Linked DNA regions of Caenorhabditis elegans. The protein of the gene in region 2 interacts with the protein of the main gene of each other region in a pairwise test. Each region holds a gene or a part of one and is shown on either strand. Other genes may lie near its edges. The genes, in order: C44C10.5, mpz-4, F08D12.7 and T01D3.6.

Evidence for each region.
Region 1: the proteins of mpz-4 (region 2) and C44C10.5 interact in a two-hybrid assay, tested with the Caenorhabditis elegans proteins (one large-scale study listed by BioGRID).
Region 3: the proteins of mpz-4 (region 2) and F08D12.7 interact in a two-hybrid assay, tested with the Caenorhabditis elegans proteins (one large-scale study listed by BioGRID).
Region 4: the proteins of mpz-4 (region 2) and T01D3.6 interact in a two-hybrid assay, tested with the Caenorhabditis elegans proteins (one large-scale study listed by BioGRID).

Annotation. Positions count from the first base shown.
Region 1 is NC_003284.9:11,688,637-11,693,469, reverse strand, and holds C44C10.5 (DUF4456 domain-containing protein), read right to left. Parts: upstream 2,930-4,833; 5' UTR 2,924-2,929; coding exon of another isoform or gene 2,681-2,923; intron 2,472-2,680; 5' UTR 2,161-2,471; coding exon 1,984-2,160; intron 1,865-1,983; coding exon 1,615-1,864; intron 1,562-1,614; coding exon 1,503-1,561; intron 1,459-1,502; coding exon 1,258-1,458; intron 1,161-1,257; coding exon 1,014-1,160; 3' UTR 815-1,013; intron 747-814; 3' UTR 503-746; downstream 1-502. Other genes in the region: smcl-1 (Structural maintenance of chromosomes-like protein 1), read right to left, coding at 1-4; C44C10.10 (Rad50/SbcC-type AAA domain-containing protein), read right to left, coding at 2,681-2,923, 3,016-3,156.
Region 2 is NC_003282.8:4,824,966-4,829,270, forward strand, and holds mpz-4 (PDZ domain-containing protein), read right to left. Parts: upstream 2,356-4,305; 5' UTR 2,301-2,355; coding exon 2,199-2,300; intron 1,901-2,198; coding exon 1,790-1,900; intron 1,742-1,789; coding exon 1,524-1,741; intron 1,477-1,523; coding exon 1,328-1,476; intron 1,273-1,327; coding exon 962-1,272; intron 917-961; coding exon 741-916; intron 697-740; coding exon 555-696; 3' UTR 523-554; downstream 1-522. Other genes in the region: tat-2 (Phospholipid-transporting ATPase), read right to left, coding at 3,111-3,146, 3,562-3,679, 3,786-3,883.
Region 3 is NC_003280.10:2,766,720-2,770,670, forward strand, and holds F08D12.7 (T20D4.11-like domain-containing protein), read right to left. Parts: upstream 2,403-3,951; 5' UTR 2,399-2,402; coding exon 2,195-2,398; intron 2,139-2,194; coding exon 1,965-2,138; intron 1,907-1,964; coding exon 1,589-1,906; intron 866-1,588; coding exon 551-865; 3' UTR 531-550; downstream 1-530. Other genes in the region: F08D12.15 (F-box associated domain-containing protein), read left to right, coding at 1-511; fbxb-105 (F-box domain-containing protein), read right to left, coding at 3,075-3,951.
Region 4 is NC_003283.11:13,714,841-13,720,925, reverse strand, and holds T01D3.6 (IgGFc-binding protein-like), read right to left. Parts: upstream 4,078-6,085; 5' UTR 4,058-4,077; coding exon 3,945-4,057; intron 3,681-3,944; coding exon 3,533-3,680; intron 3,485-3,532; coding exon 3,363-3,484; intron 3,318-3,362; coding exon 2,976-3,317; intron 2,921-2,975; coding exon 2,524-2,920; intron 2,478-2,523; coding exon 2,352-2,477; intron 2,293-2,351; coding exon 1,339-2,292; intron 1,274-1,338; coding exon 907-1,273; intron 853-906; coding exon 638-852; 3' UTR 524-637; downstream 1-523. Other genes in the region: zipt-9 (Zinc transporter ZIP9), read left to right, coding at 5,656-5,751, 5,799-5,904, 5,953-6,085.

The DNA.
Region 1 (4,833 bases), on a different chromosome or scaffold from region 2:
TCATGTCTGCAATTAAACAAATTTAAAAAAAGCGGTCAGAATCAACATCAAATTGTGATAAATAACATTTTTAAAACAAGAAAATTGAAGACAAAAAAGACAAAAAAAAACAAACGCAAATAGTTAATTCAAAAAAAATAGCAGACAATGATGAGCACGTCTTGTATTCTTAGGCCACGGCCACAAGTGCAGCGAGGGAGAAACCCTGCATTCGTATGGGTGCTGGTTTTCTCTGCGTCTATCTGCAAAACAAAAACTATCGACACTGTTGTAGAAATGGCCAAAATCGTGTAAAAAGCAGTTGAACGGGAAAGAAATGATTTGCCGAGTATGTATTTAAATCAGAAAATGTACTTCATGCTCTCCGTCTCAGAAATGGAATTGAACCGACAATATTTATATCTATAGTCTTTAGTATTATCTAGCAAACAATAACAAAAAAGTATTATTATTATGAATATTAAAAAAGAACGAAAGTGTGGTAAACTGCCTTTATTATACTAATCACATTGAAATAGCTTGGGACTTCGGATTTAAGAAAGACGAGTATGGTCGGGAATGTTCGTGAAGGAATTTTCGTCAGGCTTTATATTTTGTAAATGTATCAACATTGTAATAGATACACGTAAAAAAAGACATTAGATATCTGGCATGCTGAAAGTTGTGGTGTGTTTAGTGAAGTAACTGTCGTTGTGGGTGGTTACAATGTATTGAGTATTGTCCTGGCCGGTGAGATACGAACAGACCTGAAATTTGTTTAATTAAACAGTGAATTTATCTTTAGATGAGCCGTAGCTTCTGTTTTTTGACCAACCTTATTGCTTGTCGTTTCCGACATTCTTTTGTCAATGTCATCAACCACGAGGAGTGGTGAAGGCGTTTGCACATTTTTCAAATAAGCCGTTTGCTCGTGAAGTGCAAGAACAAGAGCCAGATTAGCAACGATTCCTCTTGATCCGCCGCGGTGGAAGCGAGTTGGCTCGAGATCTTCATTTATTCCTCCGACAAACAGATCAACATTCATACGGTTCATCCTCATTGGATGACGCAAGTGAAACGGTGGAATCCGGATCCTCAGAAATCTCTCTATAGATTCTGCTCACAGACGATGATACTGCAGCAAGGCGTTGATTGAAATGAGTACGGCGACTGGCTTTGACCTGAAATGAAACAATGTCTTCAAAAAACCAAGGTAATTCTATACACAGGTACAGAGAAATTCATAAAAATTTAAACAGAAAAAAACATTAAATAAACCTGTTCAATTTCGGCTTCTAGCTCAGTTGTGCGTAACTTTGCTATGTTAATAAAGCTGTCCGTCTCGTGGAATCTTATTAAAATATTACTCATATCCGGATACTCTGCTCCATTGACAGCAACCCATTCGTTACGAGTTGCCTGGATCGTTTCCTCCAAAGTACGCAGATGCATCTTAACTGTTTCAGCATCGTTGCTTTCCTGAAATTGAATAATTTTCTTCAAATGGCGGCAAATTTTCTTACCTTCTTCAACTCATCTGGTAAGGAGGAATAATCCGGTTTGACGTCGTAGGAAAACGTACCTAAATATTGAAGTAAATCCATGCTATTTGAAACTGTATTCAGAGTCACATACCTGCTTCTTTGGCAGGAATATCAAGATCCTGTAAAGTGACATTTGCAATGATTTTTCGACGTTGTGCACGTTGTTGGACGAGTCGATTTTCTAGTTCGATGACAATAGCCGGTTTTTCTGCGTTCTCTTGGGATAAACTGTCACCATCCAGCCTTGAACAGCCTTGAACCTTGAACATTGCGGGAGGAGCTTGTTTTGCAATTGCTTTTGGATCATCACTTTTTGTAACTTTCTGCGATTGTTTTGATGCCTGAAAAAATTGGCTTGTTAAAACGTTTTTCTTATTTTGATTGAGTAAATAAATGAAAGATATATAGTCTCTCAGTAAACAAACTGCTTAATCAAAGTGTCAAAAAAGTATAAACGAACCTTGATATTGGTGAGTTTAACTTGCTCCTTTGTCAATTTTTTCTCTAATGACTTTCTCTCCAAATCGTTCAAAAACAATCTGTAGAGATGAAGAGAAATGAATTGTCCCTGCTCCACTTGTATCAATTCTTTCATTTTCGTGTGTTTTTCGACTTTTTGTTTAGATTCTTCAATCATAATGCAAAGTCAATCGTACTTTGGCTTGTGCTCAATTGAGTCGAAGATAGCCTCCAAAAATAAACCAAAATCTTCAGCGTTATCTTGTGTAACTTTTGACGACGAGCTGTAGACGGATAATTTTCTGCCGTGAACACGAAGTGTGATGTCATCAAGCTCCCGCAAATACTCCTCTCTCGTGCGATGCAAGTTGTCAACCATGAAAGTACGGTCAGTTGTGTCAATCGTGCATTTAAACGACTTGGTCGTTTTTCTGGCAGTTTTCAAGCCATGATAAGAACACACGGATGGCTGGTGTCAAGAAGAAAATCCTGAAATTTAAATTGAATTAAAATTTTGGTACTTATGGGTTTCGTTCCCCCCAAAATGATTTCCATATTTTCTAATTGAGACGTAAACTTTTTTTTTCATTCTCAGGCTTAGTGAAATGATTTTCTAAGCCTTGTAAAAATGAAAACCGTATTAAAATAAACATTCACGTGTGGATTTAAATAAAAAGGTAGTGTTACATAATTAAAAATCATTTTGGGGGGAACGAAACCCACAAGTACCAAAAATTTATATATTTTCCAAATCTCACCGCATATTGCTGATTGGAAGACTCCGTCACCTCATCTCCTGTAAGAATTCCAATCGCCCGGACCAATGCAGATTTTCCGCATCCATTTGGTCCCGTGATTGTGGTGATCTTGCCGAAAGACTCGTATTTCACGTCCTCTAGACACATAAAATTTTTGACGGATATACTCAACAACTGCGTCATCTGAAAAACAAAATTTAAAGTGGATTAATTATTTGGAGACAAAATATTTAACGTGATGAATAAATAGAGCACAAAATAATCTAGGCACACACCGAATCTATCAATTTAATAATAAAGCCTCCGCTGGCCGACATGGAAAGAGGCAAGAATAAATAGATGAAATGATGGGTGATCGATAACGCTGTAAATGTTGTCTTGCAACATCTTTTTCGGGTTGTGATCTCACGATCCATTATCTTGGAAACGGTCGGCCAATGGTTCAAGACTACATTCTTGTCACACACAGCGAGACTCTCGGCCGGGAAAATCTTTTGGCAGGTGCGATGAATTGGGAAAAACTAATACATCTGCAGGAGGAGGATCGTTAGAGGGGAATTAGTTTGAAACATCATTTTTTGACACTATTTTTGCTGAAACCTCAAATCTTGCGCAATTTTCCGAGCCGCAGGTTTTGGAAATTACTTTTCATTAGATTACCATCCTTTACGTATTTTATCTAATTTTATTTTGTTGAGGTTAAGATAATTTTTAACCCGATAGGTAACCAAAAATCACCAAAATTGGTGGCCTAACGTCTTTAAAGGTAACTTAATCAATAAAATGGCATGAGATAAACTACTAAAATATTTAATAAAAAATTATTATTCAGAAACGTGTCAAGTTCGGACAGCTTCGACACTGAAAAGTGGTGAAATTAGGATAGTTTTTCCAAAATCTTGAAAGGCCACAAAAAAGTATACATTTGTCAAAGCTATAAGGACGGGCGGTTTTCTGAAACAGTTTGCACTGTTTTTGCTAAGCTGTAGAAGTTATAGTGACTAACTGAAAAAGTGAAAATTAGATATTTCTCTAGACGACAAAACAGTCCGAGAGCAAAACAGTCCAGGTGGAAATTGAAAAGTTATAAATATAACAGGCCGTCTCACGTTAAAAAAACGTATTCAAGTGAGAAAAAGCAAGGGTAATACAAAAATCTCTCTACAGCGGATGTTGAGAAATTAAAAACTCTAATACACTAGTTTTAAAAATTATTTAGTTGCATGGAGCAATAAAACTGGAAATCTTATCTATTGTACAATCAAATTTTCAACCAATAGTTTTTTTTTTGAATTAATTATGATTTTGCAACTATGATTATGTACTGAATTGTACTGAAAAACTCGAAAACAAGGCTAAAGAAATAAAAGTAATATGGAAAACTCTACAAAAGATCAAGTTTATTGTTAATAAATTCAAATGTTATTTTATCCGAGAGGAGTACACGCGGCAAAGTTCGGCCACGGCCATTTTCAACTGTTCTGACACCCTCCTCTAATCTACAATGAAATCTCGTTATTACTCTTATAAAAGTTCAAAAAAGAAGACAAGGAAGATTCATAAAAATTCACAAACTTGCTTATCTTGCTCCGACACTTCGGTTATTATGTATTTTCTGACTGAAACTAATGAATAAAAGAGCATATTACATAAAACATAAAACTCTGAAAATTAGAACTTGACTACGCTTGTCACAAAATTTATACAAGCATAACTGAATTTTTAAAAATGTTGAGTTCATGACCTAGCTAATCACCTGAAAACGTGAAATTCCGAATCCCATACTTGATTACATATCCCCAAAGTTATAGTCACACAAGTTCATTTACAAATTAAATTAGTTCGTAACCTAGATAACCGCGTAAAAACGTGAAAATCTGAAAGCCCATACTTGATTACCCATATCCCCAAAGTTATAGGCTAACAGGCCAACTTGCTAAATAAATTAGTTCGTGACCTAGATAATCACCTAAAAACGTGAAAATCTAAAAGCCCATACTCAATTTACCATATCTCCAAAGTTATAGGTCCACAGGTCAATTTTCAAAATAAATTAGTTCGTGACCTATATAATCACCTGAAAACGTGAAAAT
Region 2 (4,305 bases):
AGCATAGTCAAAAACACCAGAATCTGTCAATCAAAGTATAATAGCTTGTACGGAAGTATTTTTTTAAAAATTGATAAAAATATATAAAAGCTGATTTTTTCAAAAATTCAAAAGTCCTGTAAAATCATATGGAGTCATTCTTTTTTATTTCATAAAACTCTTAAGCATAGTCAAAAATAGCAGCAAATGCCGAACAGAGTATAATAGCTTGTACGGGTGTTTTTTTTTAATTGATAAAAATATATAAAAGCTGATTTTCAAAAAAATTTTTCGGAAATTTGAAATGATTGAATAAAACAATCTAGCTGAAATTAATGTTTAACTAAAGTATTTTCCAAAAAATGTTAAATTGTTCCATCACCGATGTTAGATTTTCCAATAATTAAAAAAAAAATTTTTAGGTGCGACCCATCATTGGCTTTTTAGCGGGCCTTCACGTACATTTGGTTAATGTCTCGCTTTTAGCGCTTTACCTGTGCTGTCTAACACACAGAAGGTCGGTGGTTCGAGCCCGCCCGAGATCAGTCAAATGTTTTATTAAAGAAGAATGAAGTTCATTTTTTAACCGGCATGTTCGAAGATGCCGATTCGGTCACCTTGGTCTTCAGCGGCGGGAGCCAAACGAAAAGCTTCGAGTTCCATTCCGCCGGAATAAAAAATTCTTCAGTTGTGTTGTTGAATCCAACAGCCGGGTCCCTGAATTAGTTGAAGATTTTATCTTAATTTATTTAAAAACATACTTTTTGGTAACTTTCGCATCACTCTTCTTCTTCCCAACTTCTCCCGGCCCTTCTTCCTCTTTTAAAATGGGAGCCAACGCTTTTCCATTTTTCAGAGCTTCAATTCCTTCTACAAAGTATTTACGGACATCTCCACAAAGCAAGTATTGCGGTCGTTCGGCAGTTCTCATAACATTCTGCAATTAAAATAGAAGAAAAAAAATGTGAGGCAAATAACCAACTGCAAGCTGTCCCCGAACCATATTTTTGATTGGATCCGTATTCGGATACTCAACCAACAATCGAATCCATCCATTCGCCTCAAATCCTTCGCGAAATCGTTGACGATTATCTGCCAGAGTGTTGATTGGTTTATCATCAACAGCAATAATAGCTTCACCAATATTCAAACTACAATGTGAAACTGAATCCGGAATAGTGTAGTTGACCACCACTTTTCTGTCGACCTGCTGCACGTTCAGACCAAGCTGCAGGTATTTGAATTGGTAGAGAATGGCCAAATCGATGGTGTGATCCTGTGTGGCTAAGATACCTGAAATTATATGAAAATTACTGTTTCACAATAAGAAACAAATATTCAAACTTACCATTTGGAATCTTAGACGTAGACATTCTGTTCTTCAATCTAGCGACCAGAACCGTAATCTTTGTCTCAGATTTTGAGTTCAAAATCTTTCCGACAACAACCTTGAAGTCTGGATAAAGTGAATGTGGTGCTCTCACAGGTTCAGTTTTCCTTAATAAGGTAAATATTTTTCAAGTTTTCATAACATTTGTCCTTACGGTGTAGTCGTTGGCTTCCTCTTAACAGTCTTCACATTTGACTGGAGACTTGCTCCACCGGTGGTCTCGTCGACATGCTCTGTCAATTGTTTCTCATCGAATGAGACAGTCGTACCGTTCACTTGCAAGATGATGTCACCCGGTAGAATTGCTCCTTTGAATGGGCTCGCGTAATGAACACGAGTGACCAACCCATGTCGATTGACGAGTCCGAGTTGCTGGAAATCAAAAACGTTTTACATAAAGTCATTGATGATGTCGCTTACCGTTATTTTATCCTTCTTTGGGAGCTCAAATGTGGCCTCTACAAGCATTTTGTAGCTGTTTGGAACTGGTTCTCCACGCAGAATGACCACATCTTTGACTCGAGCTTCTATCTGAAATACGTGTTTCTAGAATAGAAATAACTTTTAAAATAAAATTATGTTTCACTACTAGTGTACCATTAAAAAAACCATTAAACCATTAAAAAAAAGAAAGTTTGATTCTATAATAAAATATTCTTTCGAACACCCCCGACTGCCTCAATTACTTAGTTCAAGAAATATTGTTCACAATGAAGAAAAATAAATTAATTATTAAAAAAATCTTGAATAAAGTTCAAAAATTATTATTCAAATTTCTCACTGTTTCGATTCCAAATCCAACTTCCAAATTCCAAAAAACCCCTCTCACCTCTCCCTTCTTGAATCCGGGCCGCTCCCAAACCGTGTCTATTCCCTCTGCACCTTCCGGATAGATTTTATATTTGACTGCAGGTGGAATTTCTTGTGGCATCTTTTCAAGCTATCAAATGCTTTGAATTGAATTTGTTTGATACTTGAATTATCGATTGTTGTGAAATAAATTAGAATCGAGAAGAACAATGATAAGAGGGGGTGGGGGGGAGGGAATAAAAAATTAGAGCAATTGATCGAACGTGAAGATAAAATATCAAAGGTCAGAATTATTAAATCTTTTTCAACGTGATTTTCTAACTTTTTTTTAGAACTGAACTTATTGAGAATGTTTTCGGCATAAAACTGCAAAATCGCGTGATTCAAAATCAATCATTTATGTTTTATGTTTTTTCTTGGGACACGATTCGTATGGAATCGTATTAAAATAAATAAATAAATAAATCGTTGAAACGTGTGAGTTTGAAAATTACTTACCAACGAAGCAAATTAAATTGTGAAATCCAAACTTTTTCACCAATTTCGAGAAACTATAGAATTTTTTAAAAACTGTTACTTTGTGTTACCTTTGTTAAAAAAAAGTAATAATAATGTCTTGAAACTGCATTTTTTTTTGAAATTTTTTTCTGCCACTGCTTGTTTAATTAAATTTTTATAGACACTGATATATTAATCAACAACAAGAATATGAACAATTATTTATTGAATATTTCAAAAATTACACGATTGGAATACATCATAAATTACCCATTTTGATATCAATCACATTATCAGCGATCACCAATTATATAATTACAGCAAATTGAAGAAAAAGAGCAAACAAAACCCAATTGAGAGCCTAAAACCGGTGCCTACAAGACGGGGAAGAATGTTTGAAAGAAAATCGGAAAATAAATGCAAAAAATGAATTTTAAAGGCGAGTGATTACGTCTGGTTGTTCTTCGACCTGTTGGAAAAATAAAATATTATATTTAGAAAAAATGTATCAAAAGTAAATTTATTGCAAAAAAAATGAATTAAAGTTGAAAACTAACAGAAAAAGGGTCAAAGCACAAAGGGTTCAAATGAAAGCACACACTGCACTGCACGAGATCAAAAAGTAGGTCAAAAGTGAATAAATTACAGTATTCCATAGGAGTACTGTATGTTGAATAGTTGTAATCTCAAAATGCATAAAAATTAATATTTAAAAAGAAAAAAATTAAGTTCTAACTATAATAAATAAGTAACACACAAACACAAGTACACACAAAATTAGATAATTTGAGCAAATTGAAACAAATAAGAATTCATTATGAAAATTATTTACAAACGCCAGATTTGGATAAAAAGCGGCAGAACCGGATGGAGCACAATTATACCTGAGTTTCCCGCGAATACACGTGGTTTCTATGGCTCCGTCCATCGCCACGGATTACTGTACCCTGCAGTGGTGATGGTTCCTTTGCATAGGCTGGACGGAAATCCGATGATTGAGACCTGTGAATAAATGGCACACAATAGAGTTACAATAGAAGTACGGTAAGTATATCAGAAGTGAAGCAACGTGCTTTAGAAGTGTGTAAAATTTTATGTGAAAACTTACCAGTCATCAGTATTTACATTCAATGTATGGGGTACATTCTGTGGACGTGTACCCATTGGAAGGTGCATTGCATTAATACTTGAAGCTCCTTGGCTGTCCTGAAATATATTATATTAGAAGGGCAAATGGATAATTTTTTGTAAAAACAAAACTGAAAAGTTAGCCCATAAGTATGTTACCCTTGAGATTTTAAAAATTACTGCTTCAAAGTTTTACTGCCTTCAAACAAAGTGAAAAAAAGTTTTGTTCGAAAAATTTAATGGAATGTTTCAACAACATTATAAATTAATAAATATGATTACTGTACAATTAGTAGTGGGACGTGAACTTATTTTGAGTTTGGTTATTCATGGCTAAAAGCATGAAAAATGTCTCGGATAATGCTAACATTTGAAAACAATTAAATTCTAAATGGAAATTTGTCTGTAACTGCACAAAGTTGCAAAAAGTTGAAAAAAAGTTATTTGAAATTTTCCGAAATTATTGTTTCAAAGATTTTTTAAAAATTGCTGATTATCTT
Region 3 (3,951 bases), on a different chromosome or scaffold from region 2:
GTCTTGCGATTCAGTAACCGTCCCAAAGACTATGCTGGAGAATTGCATCAACAATGATCAACACAAGAAAATCACCTATTTTTCTCTATTCCCAGAAAGACATCTAATGCCAAATCATAAAATTCACTGTCTCAATTTGGGTTCAGTTTCATATGAGCTTCCTGGTCGCGGAAAAAATTTACAGCTGGACGATGTACTCCTCATGAACTGCTCCAAACTATGCCTATTCCCTTGTAAATTGTCTTCCCAGGAATTAAACATTTTCATTAGGCTATATATAGCTCAACCTAATCGACAGCTGGAAACAGTCGAGCTTCATCGAACTAATGAAGGAATCTGGAAGGTGGAGGATTCGATGAAAGGGATTTCTTATTCAATCTGGAATAAAAACCCCGGCAATAACCATAAACTTGAAAAACGCATCAAGTTCACCCAAAATGACGAAACAATGATGCATTTGGACTGGAAATTGGATAGTATACGTTGTTCTACTGTGATTACTATTGAATGAGACTTTTTTCAATACTTTTGACTATAAACCTTTTATTCATCAACACCCAAAATGTTTCTTAATTGTCTCGGCGGTTTTCTCATAATTCTCAACAGCCTTCTTCCCACACGAAGCTTCCATAACAGTCCTCGTGCATTCTTTCAGCTTTGTGTGCCGCTCACATGTTTCTTCTTTTTTCGAGCCCGCAATGTTATGGTCCCCGATGCAGGGGAACTTTTTTGCGGTCGGCTTGTCGAGCATCATCTTCCGTTTGCAGATGAAAAACTCGGTGCTGTAGAGCTCAAACCAGTCCTTTTTGCTCTGGAAGATCAGGCGTTCCAGGTCGTTGTAGGAGCATGATTTTGAGATGCATTTCTGGAATGAGAACGGATTTTGGAAAATTTGAAAATTTAGCTGATAGCTTATAGTTTACGTATATCAGGGATTAGCGGCATTTTCAATTTCAGCAATATGCCGATTTGCCGGAAATTTTCAATATTTTGCCAATTTGCCGATTTGCCGGAAATTTTATAATCCAGCAAGTTGCCGATTTGCCGATTTGCAGGAAATGTTCAATTCCGACCATTTACAGGTTTGCCGACTTGCCAGAAAATTGTATTTTCGACAAATTGTCAGCTTGTCAATTTGCCGATTTGCCGATTAGCCCAATTTTTAATTCCGGCAATTTGCCGATTTGCCGGAAATTTCAATTCCGGCAGTTTGTCGGTTTGCCAGAAATTTTCATTTTCGGCAATTTGCTGGTTTTGCGATTTGCCGGAAAGTTTCAATTCCAGCAAACTGCCGATTTGCCGACTTGCCGAAAATTCGAGCAATTTGCCGATTTGCCGGAAATCTTCAATTCCAACGATTTTCCGGGTTGCCAGAAATGTTCAATTTAAGCAATTTGCCGTTTTGCCGGAAATTTTCAATAATTTGCCAATTTGTCGATTTGCCGGAAATTTCAATTGCGCCAATTTGCCCACTTCCCGAAATTTTTCCGTTTTTTCCGGCAAATTCGGCAAATTATCAAGTTGCGGAATTTGCCGATTTTCCGGAAATTTTCAATGGTGTATACCACAATCAACGCTAAAATCTTGCCTCTGCATCCTCAAAAAGCTGCAGAAACTCCACCAAATTCGTGTCATTCGACTGTACGTCTACCCAGTTGATCTCCCGCTCCTTCGCCACAATACCACTTTCCAGAGCTTCACACTGAAGTTTATTGAACGCATGGTGCAGTCTATTGCAGTTGTCCTGAAAGCCTCCCGGCACAGTTGTGAGCACATTAATCAGGTTGTCATAGTTGAAGTTGGAGCTCAGGATGGCTACAGTCTCCTCGGAGCATTCCTTGCCAATGACCTGGAAGAAGCAGAACCGGCCTGATGTGTAGGATACGCGGCGAGCTGGGAGGTCGTCCTGGAATTATTTTAATTTTTTTTGAGTGCACATTTGAAATAAAAAGCTCCAGACTCACAGTCAAATAATCCCGTTCTCCTGTGCAATTGTACTTCTCATTATACACTGCTAAATAGAACTTTGTCATGCAAGGCTGCACATTTCCGGTCATCAACTCGAGCCCATCACAGGCATCCCTCATACTTTCATAGGTATGGGCTCCTTTTTTACACGTCGCTGCTTTAAAACACGTCTGGAATATATGAGAAATTATTGAAATTTCTGGAAAATCCGATATCTAAGCCTAACCTTAATATCTGTACACAAATCATTCATCTTTTTCAGAGTCTCGGCTTTGGGCTTCACGTGCTCATGCTTGCTGATAATCGGCCCAAGCTCTGCGACCATCAGGAGACACTTGTCCGAGTCGCACGGCTCAGTGGAGTTTTGAGAGCTCACCGGGCTCAGGGTGTACAGAAGTGTTAAGTAAAATGTTAAAGTTGGTTTTAGCATGGCTGGAATATAAATTCGATTAAAAATTCGGAAACACAAATCAAAATGTATTTTTATATCAAAACGAAATGTCTATCTATCTGTTTCTGATTTCTCTGTCTTCAAACATCACAACAAATTGACGACAGGTGGCGCATCCTCCGAGAAGATCTTTAAGCAGTGGGGGATGAGAGGGAGAGCAAAAAACATGTGACACATGTTCCCTGGGTGAAATTTGCCTAAACACTTTATAATTTAAACAAAAATAGAGATTTTTAAAGAGTTTTCCGGTAGTTTAAATTTAGTTGAGTAAAGCTAAAACTCTTAAAACGTTCAAAAGTGATAGGTCACATTTAAAAGAAAAATATTAATATTTATTATCACATTTTTTAATTGAACCTGAGTCATCTGTTTTTCAATAGTTTTAACATTTATTAGTGTATTCGATGCAAGTAGAAAAGCTTGGGCTTAGGCCTAGGCCTAGGCTTAGGCTTAGGCTTAGGGGGAAAAAGAGAGGAAAAAGTTACATAAAATTTAGAAGTTAGAAAAAAAAAACAAAAAAAATGAGGAAACAAAAAATCATGAATAATAGCCCGAACAAAAGAAGTGGCAAAAAAGTTTTGCAGGGTTGGAGAGTTGTAGAAAATTGTAGAAAATAAAAAGGTATTACACAGACCAACACAGTTATACAATAAAGTCAATAAACTCGCATTACAATTTTCTCAACTCCTTCAAATAAGTACGTCTGCATCGCCAACCTTCTTCCACAATTTTGGTATACATAGATAGTATCACCAAGTTGGTAGTCGTTTTCGTTTCGAGCCACAATTTTTAGCTCCGCCGAGTACACCGAGTGAGAAATTCCTTTCAACAAAATTTGCATGTTCCTGGTCGCTTCAGCACAAACAATGCCGACAATTTTGAGCCTCCGATTCGATCCACTAATCAAGTGCCTGATGAAAATGTTCAACTCTTCGAAAGACAGATGATGAGCGGAAATATTTAGTTGGGAGACGTTGGTGATCAATAAATCATTTAACGTGAGAGCTTCTCTAGTATCATCTTTGGAAAATGAAACACGTTCGAAGTGTCGAGTAAGTACTTTATGCTTTTGCATGGACGGTTCAATGTTGAATGATAAATTAAAGGATATATCATTGCTTTGGACATTGGCGACTACACTCTGGACAACAGTATCCGAGCAAAAACTAAAAAAAATTGTCTCAGTTTTTAGTTCCTTCACTGCATTGCTCAAACTTATATAGTGCTCTTCATGACCTATTCTGGAAATGTAAATTTCGTGAATCCTCGAGCAATTGAATATTTCCATAACATGATCGATCCAATCCCGAAGTTTGAATCCTCTTTTCACCCATACTCTGTCAGACTCGGGCTCCAACGGTGTCAAAGTTTCTGTGGCGGTTACTGATTCGCAACTCTCAAAATTCCATCGACCATAGTCTTTCTTGAAGAAAACCAACGAAGTTACTTCTTGATTGTGTGACAAAATATTAATATCAATTGATAAAAATGCTTTGATACTAATTTGTTGAATATCATTCTTCAGGTGCATT
Region 4 (6,085 bases), on a different chromosome or scaffold from region 2:
TGGCAACTTATTTTAGTGGCACTAAATACGTTGGCAAAGTGTGGCAGAAAGTTGCCTCTGAATGCCGAGGTACCAAGAAGTGCGAAGAGAGCCAATTGATAAAGCATCTTTTCTGAACTCGTTTCAAGACAGACTGAACGCCGATTTTTGTTGTGAACTTGTGTTGGCAAAATTTCCATGTTTTTGACGTGCAGTTTATTTGCAATTTGGAGTCATTTTTCAGTCACTGCACTTTTGCAAAAAAAATCAAATATAGGAGCGTTCATAAAAAAGAATTTTGCAAAGCATTGTTCGCATTCAGAGTGTTTGCAAAATCGTTTTCTATAGGTTTCTCTGTCAAAATATTTGATTGCACAACTGGCCTATCGAAAAATTAAATATGTTTTTTTGAATAATTTAAAACAAACTATTAAATTTAGAGCCGAATCATAAAGAAATACCCAATCGGCAGACTCGTGGGCATGCCATTTTCTATTAAATTTCTTGTCAAACTCAGGATCAGATCCTCGGTGAAGCTAATTATTATTTGATGTGCGAGTGGTTTCAGAATGTGAATTGTTCATTATTTTACTCGTAACAAAGATTTGAAAACTTCAAAGATACAATTTCATGTGAGAATGTTCAAAACCCAAACATATTACATATTAGTGTCATATTTTGGGAATCCAACTGGACGCAAGTACATCCACGATTGTCCGAGTGTTCCCTCGGCCCATCTCAAGTAACGCTCATTTTCAACTGGAATAACTGGGCATGTGTATCGGACACCGTTCAAGTTGGCAGCTCCACAAAGTTGATCCTCGACATACCACCATCCAGTGTTGAAGTTGGACTTGGAACATGTGTAGTAAACTGAAAATGCATTATTAGTTAGGAAATTTGAAAAGTTATAGCTCGAAAACTTACTTGCATCGCCCTCCATCTTGGCTCTCAATGTTGGTGGAATTGTGGTCTGTGCTTCAATATCCCAGGTGGAGAACTTTGGTCCATTCTGAGTCAAATCCCATCTTGCCCAACCATCTTGATAGTAATGCTCATCAGCTTCAGATCCGGTACAAGCCTCACGGATCACCACAGAGTATTGAGTGGTAGAGTCAAGAACACTGAATGTTGGGTATGTACAATCAGTAGTAAGGGATGGGCGTCCGTTGCTGGCACATCTGAAGAGGTTCAAACGAAGATTTTGTGGCTGATAGGTGGTAAGTTGGTGAATGAACTCGAGTCCAAGCCACACAGATTGAGTTGCTGGATTTCCGAATCCGATCAAGTAGTCCTGAAAAATTCACTTTAAAATTATTTGTCTCACAATCAATTCACAAATTTGGAATTAGTACTCACTTGGAATGTCTTATTAGTATTCAAATCTGCAGTATCTGAAGACATCAAAGTGTATCCTCCTCCGTTGGTTGTCATGTCGCAATAAACATTCATTGGAGCAAACTTAGCTCTTTGTGGAAGAACGAATGGTGGATTGATGGAGTTAACACCACTTTCTCTGACTCCCCAGTAGACATACAAATCGGCACAGTGACGACGTGGCTTGTAGGTGTTGCAGTTGTCTCCCAGCCAGAAGTCATCGCAGGTGCAGTGGTAAGATCCAGGAGTGTTGACACATTGTCCATGTCCGCAAATTCCGGGAGTCTCAACACATTCATTGATATCAGTACAGTTGTATCCATCTCCACGGTATCCATTGTTACACTTGCATTGCATATCAATTGAATTGAGAACGCAACTTCCATCATCTGAGCATGGACGATAGTCACTCCACATTGTTCCATTTTGGCATTCGTGATAGATTGTACAGTTCTGAGTAACCCATGGTTTTCCTGGTCTGTGAGCGTTTCCATCGGAATCAACACATCCACACTGATCAAGTCGGATACATTTGATAGATCCAGTTACAGTATTATCAATGACATATCCTGGATCACATTCACATCCATCAACACAACCTTGATCACAATACTCTGGGAATGGTTCAGCACAAGTTGATGGGCAAGATGATGTGCAAGTAGATGGATGAGCATTTAATGGGCAAGCAAGTGGACAGTTGATCTGGGCGCGCCAGTTCTGGTTCATTGCAACTTGTGGAAGAGCCAATTGACAGTATTGAAGGAAGTATGTGAACTCTGTGCACTTAAATGCTGGATTACGACAGATATCGTAAATACAATTGTAGTAGAAATCTTCAAGAGTATCATTTCCAAGTCCCTGACAAGCCCCGAATGTTCCGAGTCCCATCTCAGCTTGTTGAATTGGGTAGCACGTTTGAGAAGCTGTTGCAACATCCTGAAAAATCATAAGTTTTTGCAAAAGAAACAGGTGGAAAGGGAGAGGTTGAGCGGTACCGCGCAACTCTGGGCTAGACTAATACTAGTACTGACGCAATTTGTGTTGTTATCGAGTGTCTGGCCGTTGATACAGTTCTCTTGGCCTGGGCGAAGGATCAGGAACTTGTCGGTGATCCAGGTATCCTGAATAATTACATATGATTTCAAGTCATTCATTCAGAATCCGTACCTCAGTCTTCATGAAATCGGCATGATTGTTGTTCTCAGGTTGACGACTCGACTTGATTGCCAATACGGATCCATTCTTGTTGACGACGTCATCCAACTTCTTTCCATCAATATTTCCAGCCAATCCACACAAGGTGGTAGCTCCGTTGAACTCTGGGATGTCTGGTACTTGAACGCAAAGAGAATTGTAAGTTGTGAAAGTGACAACGACTCCTTGATCATTTTCAATTGTGAATGTAGATCCAGAGAAACGAACTCTCACGGTCCAGGTGTTTTTGTTTGGGAAGTACCATGGGGTAAGAACTTGAACTCCATTTACCAGAGCTGTCTTTGAGCGTCCATCAACGTGAATTGTTAAGTTGTGAAGATCAACTTCAACTTCAGATACTTGAGAGATGCTGAAAATTAGTGAATGAAATTTGATCTCTATGGTTTACGAGTAGTTAAACTTACTGATATCCCTTTCCTGGCAGCTCGTTCTTGGCTCTGACTGAATACCACAAATATGGAGCTGGAAGTGTTGTGCATGGTTGAGAGAATACATATGGGCAAGTTCCTTGGTAGTCGAAACGAAGACCATCATAAGTGACATAATGAGGATCTCCACTCATGCAAGCTTGTTGAACTTTCATATCACAATCTCTTCCATTTCTACGGGCTGTGTATCCTGGCTTACAAATACAGTTAAGCTGATGGTTTGCCACATAGCAATCGGCATTCTTTCCGCAAGAGTTATCCTTACACTTTATCTCATTTTGGCAGAATCTTCCAGATGCATAGTCTGGGCAGACACAGCTGAAAATAGAACTTTTTTTTAAATTGTTGAAGCTTTAAACGTACTAGAAATATTGCCATGGGAATCGTGCGTCTGGAACGCACTGTCCGCTGTTACAAAGTCCTGGTTGACTGCAAATACTGCATTGTGGTGATACTGTGGCGGCGAGGTCTCCGGTGACAGCAACCTGAAATAATAATCTTTGTTCTAAAAAGTTTTAAGATTAAACACTCACTTCGTTCAGGAAATTGCGAACCGCACTTTCGTCCCTAATCGGCTTTGTGAGTGGTGCCAAGTATTCATCGTGTTTCTCCTTTTGGTAATGGCTGATCATGGCGAGAAGAGTTTCTTTCGATTCACATTCGAGGCCGGAGCATTGTTCACTGGAATTAGATAAATAGATAATTGGAGAAAATAGAGTACTGTCTTGTTGGACTAGATTTTGAAGAAAAATTGATATTCACTGGGCTTTTCAGATCTAGCTAAAAATTGTTTATTCTAAAAAAAATATTAACTCTCATTCCGACTTTTCTGAACAAATAACAGTATAAGGAAAAAGTATGTTTTTAAAAATCACATTTCATAGTATTTAATTTTAAGTCAAAATCTATGAACACAAATTTCTACAGTAACCCTTCAGAACTTACGTATCATCCATATAATGTGGAACCTCACAATCAGCTCCATAACACTTGAGGTCATCCTCGGCTGCAGCGAGAGTTAAAAGAAGGCATAAAGCCAAATGTTTGAAGAGAGCCATTGTGCTCTTCCTCTCCACACAAACTGAAACTCTTCAGGCCCTTATAAACTATTCTTATCAGAGTTTCTGCCCTCTACCTGAAATCATCGTCATAGAATTCACATCGTTGGACTAGTTTGCTCTTTTCCCACAAATACAATTATTATCAGTGTGCTCCGCGACATTTCCACTTGATTCATAGTGTTGAAGGCGATTATCATAGTGTTATATATTTGAATAGGGAAATGCTGAAGATTGGAGGAGCGAAGAAATTGTAAAGAAAACGATAATTCGGGTGCAAACTATCAACTCATCATCATCGTTTTCGTCATGATTCTCTTTGAAGCTTCTCGGAGAAAAACGTGAGTAATTAACCTTTCAGCTGTTTCCGATAATTTACCATTTCCTGAATCAATGATGACTTTTTTTGAAGATCGTGCGAAAATTGTTTCTTTGGTCTTCTTTCTGAAACCACGCCTATGCGGAATTCATCTAGAAAATTTTTAACTTTAGAACAATGTTCTATGAGACTGGCACAAGTTACATCGTCGGCACACGTAATAAAACTTTTGAAGATAATAAGTTCAATATTATTTGTTTTATTGATGAAGGTCTTGTGGTTTCAAGTTTCTGATATCGAAAGGGCACAGGTGGTCTCTCCCACGCGGGTGTAGCCTGCAGCCCACTGGAAAGTTGAAAATTGTTTTGAAGAATATATATCATGCTCAAGAATTGAAATGGGTACAAAATTTTCAAAATTTACTGTTATTTAATTTAAAAAATCGAACGCTGATATTTACATTAGCCAGCAGTGAAATTATACGACTTTTGCACCAAAAATACGGTGCCCGGTCTCGCCACGACAAGTGTTTGTCAAATGCGAAAGAATGTGCGCCTTTAAAGAGTACTGTATTTTCGAACTCTCGTTTCTGCCGAATTTTATCGATTTTTCTAAGTTTCTGCCACAATTTGTGTAAATTTATGTTTTTTTTTACTGTTGAACGATTAAAATTCGCCAGAAACAAAAGTTCCAACTTACAGTACTCTTTAAAGGCGCACATCCTTTTGCATTTGACAGAAATTTGTCGTGTCGATACCGGCTATCGTATTTTTAGCGCATACATCGCAAAATTTCGCATCTGGGTAATTCTTTTTTGTTTTCAGGTCGCTGTTTTAATGTTTCAATGTCACATTGAATCCACATATCAAAATGAGATCACACAAATTCCCGGAAAGGCACACTCCGCAGAATTACAAATTCTAATGATCCCTATTTTTCCAGCTACAAGTATAAATTTTCAAATAACGTTTATGGAATTTGAGAATATTCTAACAGATTATTTAATTTAAAATTGCGTCCTCGTTAACATACCTCATGAGAAATCCGTTTCTCCAGATAATGTTTCCCACAGCGTGTGTGACGTGTCAACGCAACCGCGCTCTACCGCACGCATTAAATGAATTTTTTCTTTTGCTTTGTTTTCACTGTTTTCAGTTTTATCGGCGCTTCATCTCTATTCGTTTTGCCAATTCATGTTCTTTCACTTGCCAAAAAACGTAACCTGGACTTTTCTATTTGTTAAAACATTTTATTTACATAAATTATTGATTTTCAGACAATGGAGGGGGTAAGTTTCCTCTTGGTGCTCTCATCGGCAATGTTTTTTGGCAGCTACATGGCCGGCTCGATACCTTTGATGTTCAGTTTATCTGAAGTGAGTTTTTTGTTTTTCTGATTCAAATAATTTTTTTTTAATTGCAGTCTCGAATTCGATTAGTGAGTATATTCGGCGCTGGACTGCTCGTTGGAACTGCGCTTTCGGTTATTATTCCAGAAGGAATTGAAGCTTTGTATGGAGCACAGTGTGGTAAATATATTTTTTAGTGAAAAATTATTATTTAAAACCAACTTTCAGGCGCTGTCCATCAACACAACCATCACGACCATATAAATCCGGTTGTATCACCTGAAGGAGCGATTGTGAATCCAGCTGAAGCAAAGCAAATTCTAGAAAATGCGAAGGATAAAGAGGATAACTTACCAAGAAT